Arabidopsis thaliana: one gene and its partners. The protein of the gene in region 1 interacts with the protein of each later gene in a pairwise test. Each region holds a gene or a part of one and is shown on either strand. Other genes may lie near its edges. The genes, in order: AT1G71020, PDLP6 and AT5G47070.

What was found.
Region 2: the proteins of AT1G71020 (region 1) and PDLP6 interact in a protein complementation assay, tested with the Arabidopsis thaliana proteins (one large-scale study listed by BioGRID).
Region 3: the proteins of AT1G71020 (region 1) and AT5G47070 interact in a protein complementation assay, tested with the Arabidopsis thaliana proteins (one large-scale study listed by BioGRID).

What each region holds. Positions count from the first base shown.
Region 1 is NC_003070.9:26,791,562-26,795,321, forward strand, and holds the start of AT1G71020 (ARM repeat superfamily protein), read right to left. Parts: upstream 1,759-3,760; 5' UTR 1,545-1,758; coding exon 1,251-1,544; exon of another isoform or gene 1,038-1,250; coding exon 921-1,037; intron 830-920; coding exon 443-829; intron 353-442; coding exon 1-352. UniProt on the Arabidopsis thaliana protein: Functions as an E3 ubiquitin ligase.
Region 2 is NC_003071.7:290,980-294,739, forward strand, and holds the start of PDLP6 (plasmodesmata-located protein 6), read right to left. Parts: upstream 1,710-3,760; 5' UTR 1,518-1,709; coding exon 794-1,517; coding exon of another isoform or gene 738-793; exon of another isoform or gene 309-737; coding exon 177-308; coding exon of another isoform or gene 169-176; exon of another isoform or gene 5-168; coding exon 1-4. UniProt on the Arabidopsis thaliana protein: Modulates cell-to-cell trafficking.
Region 3 is NC_003076.8:19,119,371-19,123,130, reverse strand, and holds the start of AT5G47070 (Protein kinase superfamily protein), read left to right. Parts: upstream 1-2,027; 5' UTR 2,028-2,602; coding exon 2,603-2,989; intron 2,990-3,281; coding exon 3,282-3,533; intron 3,534-3,748; coding exon 3,749-3,760. Other genes in the region: LCR20 (low-molecular-weight cysteine-rich 20), read left to right, coding at 305-350, 447-628.

The DNA of each region.
Region 1 (3,760 bases):
CTCCTGCCTCTGCAATCAGAATTCGGTTGTCTGTGCTTCTTTTTGACAGAGAGCGGATTTCAGAAACCGCAGTCCTGCGGTCTTCGATTGATTGGCTAGAGAGTTTACAAACCAATGCTCGGATCGCTGACATATCTCCACTTAGATCACGGAAAGACCCATCACTGTTTTTGGTCCTACCGTTCATGTAACCACCTGGTTGCTCAATGTTGTGCTTAGTGCACCACTGAGATATCAGGCTTCTGAGGACATAGTTTGGAGTAAGAGTAAAGTTTTCAAGTTTCTGCTGTGTCTTTGGGCAGCTCAGATTTCCACAGTCTATCCATCTCTGAATGAACGACCTCTCGTATGTCTGCCAACGAAGAGAGAAGATCATTGTTAAGGTTTCAAATCAACAACCATACGTTAGCACTATATAAAGATTTGATTTTTTAAACCAGACCTGTCCTGTGGAAACAATAGCAGGATCCTTCATCAGTTCCAGAGAGATTGGACAAAGAAAGTCCTCTGGAATCGTGAGATTATCCGATTTCTGTGAGTCATCGCTGTTCTCGGTAACTGCTTTCTCTAATCTCTCATCATCACCATCCTTTGATAAAAAGAAGGCCAATGATACTGAAGAGCTCTTCCAAGGAGGGGGTGATTCAAATTTCTTCTCATCTGATAAAGAATGCACTGTCTCTGGAATACTCTCCAACTTTTCAATAACTTTTCTATTACTTGAGGCATCTTTCTCCATTGGCTCAGATAAACCACTCGAGAACTTCTTCGAATTTAACGATCCATATCTCTGCATTGCTCTTCTTAACTGTAATCTTGCTAGTTCCACCTAATCACAAGCAAAAAAAAACCCTTAGAAACACCTCCATGGATAGGAAAACCAAATCTTCATACATTCTACATAATGAACAAACTTTTACCTGTTCACGGACTTCGTCAGAGATATCATATCTATCATATGTCAAATCACCTAATGCTTTCTCCAGCTTCCATGTAACACATTGGAACTGGAATGAGATCCTCTTGGCTGCCCCATCCTTCAATCAAAATCACACATCAAAGTTTAGAGAGCTCCTCATGTATATATTAATAATGCTCTTCACTACACAAATGTCAACAATAGTATCTTCCAATCTAAAAAAACTAAAAACAAATTCTTCCTATAAATTACGTTCCTGCCATGGCGAGACCAAATCTTCGTGAAATCACAAATCCATTTTCAATCGTTGAGAATGGTTTAGAATGCTTACAGAGGACTCGCGAGCTTGGAAACTAGTAGCTGAAGACAAAAGACGCTTCGCGGCTTGAAGTCCCACCACAAGATCAGACCACCAATCACATTCATGAGAATTCAACGAAGAAGAAGCATCAGATTCCGACGGCGGAGAAGAATCCCTGATTTCCTCAATCAAATGCGTCAGGAGACCGACTCGTCGCGCGAGATCGGAACAATCCTTCTTAAACAAACCAAAATTCCCCGGAATCTCATTGATTTCAGCAATAAGACCGATGAGAGAATCGGGAGTGATAGCTCCACCAGCCATTACGCCGTCTCACACGGCGGCTTAAAATTCGAATTTTTGTGACTCGCTCTCTCTCTCTCGCTGGCTCGCTTCTGACTCAGAGATGCGTCTCTATCGCTTTTATGTATCCAACGAAGCCATGTGGCGAAAAAGGATAAGTCGCTGTTACGACACCGTTTTGGTTTTAGTGTTTTTTGTTTTAAACTTTTTATCTAACTCTAAAAATGGTTTTTTCTTTTCTTTTTAGTTTACTGGCTTTATATTTTTAGATAAAAGTTTATGTGATACATTTAAATAATACAATAGAACAAACTAGATAATTGAGAGCGAGATTCACGGTGCAAGTAGAGGTTGAAGAGAAAATGATACAGTTGTCAAAAAAATAATCAATTATTATCATTTATATTAGATCAAAACTGTATAATAGAAATGAACTATACTTTTAAATTCAATAAAAAAATCCACTTTTCTATTTATTGAAGAAAATGGTTTGTTGTGTGCTTAGTTGTAAAGTAGATCTTATATGATTGTATTTTATAGTTGTGTTGAAATTTATGTTGGAGTTATGAAATTTATCTGTATGTATTATTTATGTAATCTTAAATGGTAATAAATAGTCAAATTAGTTATTTTTTCTATTTGAAAAGAAACTAAGATAAAATTTCCAGGCCTTTAGATGCATTGTATTGACATGTGTTTCTAGTATATGATCTGTCTTACCCTAGTGTTTATTAAAAGATGGAAAAAATCTTCTTTGTAATTAACTAAATATAGCTTTACATGTTTTATTTTCCCTTAAAAATAACTTTGTATGTGTAAGAAAATTTAATATCTCTTACAGCAAAAATGTTCTAGAAAAATTATGTCAATTAACATAATTTTGGTGAGTATTATATAGCCTGCAAATGGAACGGTCGAACATGACCCGGTAGATCGAATTTTAACAACATTTTAGATAATTTGAAGCATGTATACAAATTGGGACCTATAATTTTCTTAAAACTGTTTTACCACAGTTTAGTATACTTTTGATTAAAATTTATAAACATGACTTACATATAGTTTGTGACAGTCTTGTATTGAAAAGTTATCTCGGTTTAACAAAAGAAAGGTTCAACCACGACATCCACATCATATCGGCCGACGTCCATGCCCGTGACTTCTGCGTCCTACATAACAACCGATAGCAACTTGAAAAATAGACAACATTATCTTTTAGACATTTTTGGCAAGTTTGACTGGCTGGTTTCATAATTATTTTTGGACATATGCAAAAATAAAAAGATCTACATAAAGAAGAGGGTATTCGTCTGAATCAGATGAAGATTAATAACCTTGAAGTGTTTGATGAGGCATGTGATTTTTGCTTGCACATCCACACACAACTCTCCATTAACCACAATACTCACCGTTATTTCTGAAATTTATGGTGTAGTTGTACTTGCGGAACAATATGAAAGTGAAGGTGAGATCAGAGTTTATACAGTTGTGGAAACAACTTCTTTGATGGTTGTAGATCCCGCAATCGTAGAAACAACCTTAATGATGATTGTAGTTTCGATGATAAATATTGGTCCATTTTCTTAGCAAACAATCTCCTCTTCTATACTTGTCAAACATTCATATTCTTTGGTCATGCAATTTTGTTTAATATTTGATGATGTTTGAATAGCGGTTGTACAAATGTATTTACTTTCTAATTTTTATTTTAAGCATGTATGAAGATACTTTAAACAAATTCATTGTGAGTTTTGTTCAAAATATATGTGAACGTGTTTGTACTAGTTGGTGCATATTTGACCGTATAGTCTCCATGCTTAAGACATCCTTAAATCGATACATTTCATTATTTTATAAGTTAACTAATTTGCTTCCTTTATATCTTTAGTAAGTAATTTTCGTATTTATAGATTCCTTTGTGCGAAACGAGAGTTTGAAATTGCTTTTGAATAAAGAGTAAAGTGTAGTTTGGAGGAAAATGAACATACTTGTCCATTTTAAGAGAGTTAATTAATACTTCCCGTCAATGTGCACCGTTAACATTGCTGTATTAGCTATAATTTCTTACAGCTTGATTGATCAAATAAGCAGCGGTTATCGTCGGTTAGTTATTAACGATCTACTATAATACTAATCACTGAAAACAGAACCGGACATTTAAGAGAATAGTTGTTCAATGACCAGCCGGTCCAATTCAGGATTAACATATTTCAAACATCGTTATACCATCTCTCTAG
Region 2 (3,760 bases), on another chromosome or scaffold:
CCACCTGATATATTAAAAACAAAAACATTAATAGATGATATAAACAACAACAACAACAAAAAAAGTCGGATCATAGTGCCTTATCTTTGGGCTCCATTAATTACATATTGATCCGTTAATCATAACAATATTTGATGATAATGTTCGATTAATTAGGGATGGGTCATTTCATTTACCTTTACCTCTCTCGCACGATTTTGCCATAAAAGAGAGAAATACGACGAGTAACGTAACTCCAGCAATTAAGCCAACTATGATTGCAAGTGTTTTCTCTATCTCATCGTCATCATTGTTATTACGATTCCCACCTAATTACATCCCAAAAATAACACATTTTTAACAATACAATTATCAAAAATATTATATGCATAAATTGTAAATTCTATGCAAAGAAGATGGAGAAAATAAACGAAAAAAATAAATCTTGAAAATAAAAATCTCACATAACCACATGACTAAGACAATACGTTCGTAACTATTCGATAATAAAATATATATAAATAGTAAATACTGTACAGTTAAGTTTTTACTGCAGTTATTGATTCAGTTACCACTGTTAACGGCTGTTAATTTGAATATCTAATTTTAACAAAATTTAATAAAACGAAAGTTTTAAAAAGATATAAAAATTAATTTAGATATTTTTTGAGAAAATTAAATAATAGAGGTATTAAACAGACAAACTAAAATTAGCCGGAGATTTTTTCGGGTTTTTCCCTTAATTAAAAACTTTAAAATCAAATAAAAATCTTTATAAAAGAAATAAAAAGCAACGGAGCAAAGAAGACATTACCATAGCCGTTGGCTCTAGAGTGACCTCCACGCGCAGAGTAACGCGCGTAGCACTTTGCTAAGTACACGTCACCCCAAGCAGCTCCTCCGCAATCCGTTCTCAGCCGTCCGATCGCTTCCATCAAACAGTCTTGACACTCAGTCGCACTAAGATCTCCGGTGCACTGCGCCACACCTTGCAGTTCCCCCGACACTCCTACTCTGTATGAACCACCGCTACTCGCCGCTAAAGAACCCACCACCGAGTCTCTACGAGTCATCTCGTCCGAGTTATAACCAACCGGTGGTCCACAACGTCGAACCACCACCGTCTTATCCTCAACACCGAGGAACGTCGTGTTGTCGTATTTAACGAAACAGCCTTCGAGCTGCAACGCGCCACCGCTTGCCATGGCGCAGAGACTCCCTAGACGGCTTACTGCTCGCGCGACGCATCTTGCACAATCTCCCGAGCCGGAGGAGAGATCACCGCGACACTGGTACAAACCGTAGACGGAGGAACTGTCGCCGGAGATTCCGTTGGTGGTGAAGTTGTTGTATGTGTAGAGAGAAGCTGAGCTAACGAACGAGGTGAGTAGAGAGTTAACGTTTGACTCGTAAGGCGATCCCGGAAAGTACTTTTCTTGTGAGCAACCACCGTAGATAAAAGTATCGACAGCGGCGGATGAAAACGTTCCGAGAAGTGACACGACGGCGATAAAGAGAACTGTTTTTGTAGCGAACATGACTTTCGACGATTGCTTCTTTTTGTTCTCTCTCTCTCTGTGGTATGATTCGAGAAAGAATGAGAACGTCGCGACTTTTTTTTATGCTTGGTGTTTAACTTTTTTTTTTTTTTAATGATTGGTGCGTTACTATATGATTATGAAACACTTTGATTATATTGTATTTTTATCATCTGTTTATCAGTTATATGGTTTGGTAATCGATATACTATATGTCAAAATTATTTATTTGGTAATCATATATATGAAAGTTGGCTAACTTTCTTCATATGAGTGACACATCATCACACTAATGAGTGTCACATGTTATCCTAAATTAATATTATTAGAAAAATAATAAAACTTGGTGATAAAATTTAAAAGTTTAACATTGCATTGAATCATTCATTAATCTTATTTTTAACAAAATATCTTCACTTAAAAGAAAAAAATATAAAAAATTATGTTAATATATCAAATACTATTTTCATTTTACTTTTCTTATTTTGCTATTTTTTTTAATAGTCAGTATTTGATAATGGTTAGAAACTTTTGGGTATTGCAACTTACCTGGTACTTAACCTTTTTTAATTTAGTAATTTTAACTTAATTTTTCTTATTATTACATTTTTTGGTCTACATGATATTATCATGGTCTTTTTGTACTTTATGATAAATTAGTAACATTAATAATAACATGCATGTTTTTTAAAGTAATGGTCTTTTGAGACGTTAGATATACCAAAAAATTTAATATACGACATTCTCTCCAATATAGCTAAATGCAAATGTAAAGAGAGAAACCTAAAAGTATTAACTTAAAAGACTGTTTAATTTTTGCTTTCTTTTTTTTCTTTCACGTGAAAACTTTTAATGCAAATGAGTAGTTAGTTATACATATGTTATTTATTTTATGTCAATCTAATACTTAGCCATGAGTTTATCATGATGTGATTGGGATATTAGATTAAGAGAGAATACATGAAACAATAAATTGTTTGCTTAGAATCAAATTAGACAACTTTCAAACTAAATAAGTAACATAATTGCATACCATTGTATCATATATTGTTGATGTAAGTAATTCATGATAGTTAAAAAAAGATTAGAATTTTGGGTATAGAGATAAAAAGATTTATACATAAAAAATATAATTGATATGTGAATCAAAAGTGAATCTAACTCTACAAATATAATTACATAAAATAAATATAACTTTATTAACTACATAATAACATATACGGAAAAAACATAAATTAGCAATCAAAATAGTTAAACATAATTATTTTTAAATAATTTTTAAAATAACAACCTATACGTAGTGTGAGTATTCACCTAGTGTAATTTTATTTTTGTTAAAAGTAGTTGGTATATGCGCACATCATGTCATCATCCTACACCGGGAAATTGGGAAATTCAGGACTGCCTAAATAATATCTTAGCTTTGGCCAAGAACCGTTACTATAATATATATAGTCGTAGAGAACCAAATGTAATGGCAAATACATTAGCAAGAGAGGCTCAACAAAAGCAGTATTATTCTACAAAATTTATGCAATCAACATATTTTAAAAATAATTTTATTCTACAATTTTTCATTTTACAAATTTTTATTTGGCAATTTATATTATTATGCTATTATGTAATGTTACCAATTGGAGTTATAGTCTCTTGGGTCTGTTAAATGTATTTCTGTACACACTTTCATTATCTAATGGATAAATTGGCCGACTAAAAAAAATATAATCATGCACTGATTAGTTTTGTTAAGTTAATTTTACACACATCTATGGACAACTCGAGGGCATTTTTGATTTAGGTGATCTTTGTTACATTGCAAGAACAATTTTTTCATAGATTGTAACTATTATCTTTTGATCCTTAAGATTATTTCAAACTATCTAAAGTTAATTTAAACTATGCCAGAAAAGAAAATTGTTAGTATTTTGTTACCAAAAATTTAAAAATTGCTAGAGGTCATTTTTATTTTTCATTATATTTGAATCAAATATCTATTATCAAAATTAGTAGAATCAATCTTATTAATTAGAAATAACTTTTTGCATAATAGATTAGAAATTTTCTAAGTTATAAAATTAATAATATATAAACTCTTTTTTAGTAAGATATTAGCTTAATTAATCTCTTTATTGGCTAAACAAAAAGATTGGAGTAGTTTGTTTTTCATGTCTATTTTTCTTGATTAATTTTATATTTTCCTAATATTGCCTGGTTACTCTCTTTCTCTAAAAGTGGTTGATATC
Region 3 (3,760 bases), on another chromosome or scaffold:
CTACTTTCGTATTAATCAATTTTAATTTTGTACTTATCCTTTATCTTTTAAGTATCATTCCACTTATGTATATATGTTACTAAAAAACATATGGATACTATCAAAAATATATATGTTACTAAAAACTATCCATATTTTTTTAGTAACATATATACACAAAGAGAAAAAAATCAAAAATGATAATATATGCATATATATATATATATATATATATATATATATCTGTGTGTGTGTCTTTCTATGTGATATTTCATTATATAGTACCGTTATTCTCATTATTTTTGTAAACTCCAATTATCATACAATGACTAAATCCACCTTTCTTTTTGTCTACATCATCCTTATTCTAGGTTTTTTTAACCATCTCTAATTCAGTTATAAAATCATGTAGTTTTACTACCATGAAAACTAACTTTGTGTTTGTGTTTTAAATATTACTTTTACAGGATCAATGGTGAATGAGATTCAAGGACAAAACGCAATATGTCAAAAGTTTTTATCGGAAACTGATTGTGGTGCTGGCTCGTGTACCGCGTTGTGCTTGCAGTTATGGAAAGGAATTGGCAAATGTATTAAAACAGATGATCATAAATTATTATGCCTCTGCAAATATGAGTGCATAGTTTGATTTTTTTTGTTCACTTTATTTTGAGATCTATAAATCATCATCAATAAAATAATAATTTTAATCCATAAAATAATCATTGTAGCAAATTATCATCGTACCATATAAAACTACTTAAGATATGTTACAACTTACAAGAAATTGTTTGTTCAAAAAGAAAAATCTCATAAGAATTAGTTACATATATATTATTTAATAATTAACTTTTAGGTATTACATATTTAATAGGTCAGAAAATTTTTAAAACCAAAATCTCTGTATATAAAGTTAAAGATTTAAATCAAATCAAGTACAAGGATGAGTGATTTAAATATTACAAAGTTTAAAACATAAATAAGAGAGACATTCTCCAATACCATAAAATGATAGATAAAGTAAAACGAGATAGATTTCATGAGAGCTTTGAGACAAAAGCTAAAAACATTATGGCGCATGTGAAAGCACGGTTAGTCGAAAGATTTTCTACGAGCGAATCAGGACGACAAGTTGGTCACGGTCAAAAGACGAGGTGACGTTAAAAAGGATTCCATGTCCGAAGTTCTCCTCGGGGCAAAAAGGGCGAGCTGGAATTGCTCATCGGTATGGAGAAGAGTGTTGACGGTTCTCTGCTCGGGTGGGATTAGAGGTAAAAATTGCCATATTTTCGTATTTATTTTATGATATTGTGCAATTTTTCATAATCTATCACATAAAAATGTGGAATATGATAAAATAATAAAATGAAACGAATTTTACGTTTATATTAGACTATGTGCATCGGGGGTTTATTCAACCGTTGAAACTCTTACAATGAGGGTGTTGAAAAAGTAAAAAAAAATTTGTGGATTAACTATAGTTGAAAAGATTCAACATGTTGAACACAAATAAATGGGCGTCACTTGCGACACGTGTCTTCTTTTCACTAGATATTAAATTCTGAAAATTTTTATATTTCACCCTAAATATTTAAGATTAGAACTAATTTATTTTTTTATGAATTTAAAATCAAAATTAATCAAAAAAATTTCTTTATAAAAAGATCCTTGTTTCATTTGATTTGCACATAAAAAAAAGAAGTTTATTTTACTATAACTCTTTTAATTATCTTCACATACATTTTTGTTTAAATTTTTATACATTTAGAAAAATGGATTTCAACAAACATAATTTGTTTGTATTTTATAATTATTTTAACTTAAATTTATTTGATAAGTGTTATTAATATGTAATTTGAAACATAAAAAATATGAGATAAAAATAGTGGGTTAAAATGTTGAATATTATTAAACAAACCATTGTAAATGTTAAAAATTAAACAGATGTTGAATAATTAGCTGGGAAAAAAAATAAAAAATAATATGGAGTGTTAAAAGCAAATAAATAAGAGTGCTTAAAAAACAAACTAATATACATAGTCTTAGGCTGTAAATTCATTTTAAAAATTCCACAATATAAGTTATTTATACCTACAATTATTAATACAGAGTCTAGAAATGTATGAGTCTTTCACACATACTTTTCAACGTGTAATCCGTACGGACGCGATTTCTTCTGTTTTCTTTTGTGTTGAAACACGATTTCTTCTCTTCTTTCTCCTTATCTTTTAAGGAATGGCGTAACGTTTTGTGTCTTTTTCCATCTTAATCTGCTTTCTCGACAAAGAAAAGCAGAGAAAGAGAGACTTGTTATACTAAACTCAATCTCTGGCTTTTAGTTTTGTTGTCTCTCTCCTTCAGTTTCCAGGAAAAAATCTCTTTCTCATTAAGCTGTTATATAGATCTGTGTTCATACTCTTCTTCCACAATCTAACCCAAAAAAAAAAAAACTTTATTTCTCTCTACAAATTTCATTTGTTCCATTTTCTCAATTTTAGAACTTAAGAAACCCAAAAAGCAAATTTTTAGTACATTTTCTGGTTTAACTAAAGTAATTAATTTTTGTGTTTTCCATCAAAATTCCACTGGTTTTCTTTAGAATTTTTTTATCTCTCTTTAAGACATGAACTGTCTGTTCTTGTTCAAATCAAAGAAACCCAGAAAGCAACAGAAAGACAACAACAAGAACAAAAGAAAAGGTAAAGAGTTGTTACAAAACTCAGCTCCAGAACTGACGAATCGGAGTGAAACGTCTTCGTTTAATCTCCAGACACCAAGATCGTTGCCTTCTCCAAGAAGTATCAAAGATTTGTATACAGAGAGAGAACAAAATCTTAGGGTTTTTTCTTACGAAGAACTCAGTAAAGCCACTTATGTGTTTAGCAGAAAGCTTGTGATCGGTGAAGGTGGATTTGGTATTGTTTATAAAGGAAAGATTCTCAGCAATGGAGATTCTTCTGATCCTCCACTTGTCGTTGCCATCAAGAAACTCAATCGACAAGGTTTACAGGTAAAAAGTTAATCTTCTCTCTGCTTTGTTGCTAATATAATCATTAGAAGATAAATTAACCAATTAATTGAAGCTAAGAAGTTGAAATAGAAGATTAGATTGATGCAATTATGAAGCAAAATCAAATTTTGTCACTTGTTTGAAGTAAAGTTGAAGAAATTTCGTAATCTTGATATAAAGATTTAGTGGAATGGTCAAATGGAAAAGTAAGTATGAGTCAATGGATGCATTTATTAAGTCAACTTTGTTGCTTTAGTAATATTCCTTTCTCTGTGTTTGAATGGTGTATTAGGGTCACAAGCAATGGCTAGCAGAGGTTCAGTTTCTTGGAGTAGTGAATCATCCGAACGTTGTGAAGCTCATAGGTTATTGCTCGGAAGACGGCGAGACCGGGATCGAGAGGCTTTTGGTTTATGAGTACATGTCGAATCGAAGTTTAGAAGACCATCTCTTCCCTCGTCGATCACACACATTACCGTGGAAAAAAAGACTCGAGATCATGCTTGGTGCTGCTGAAGGATTGACTTATTTACATGATCTTAAGGTAAAATTTCGAAACCCATTAGAGGAAATCTGGTTTTAGACAGACCCTTTTTATTGTTCTTGATATTTTCGGACAGGCACAATGTTAAACATTAAGTTATATTAAATGTGGTCATAGAGACATGATTAGTAGTTTAGGATCGAGACTTCTGTGAACCGGGGATGTGTGTTTAGTGTTTAGATTGGAAGATAATTTCCTATTTATTTGGTTGACAGGTGATATATAGA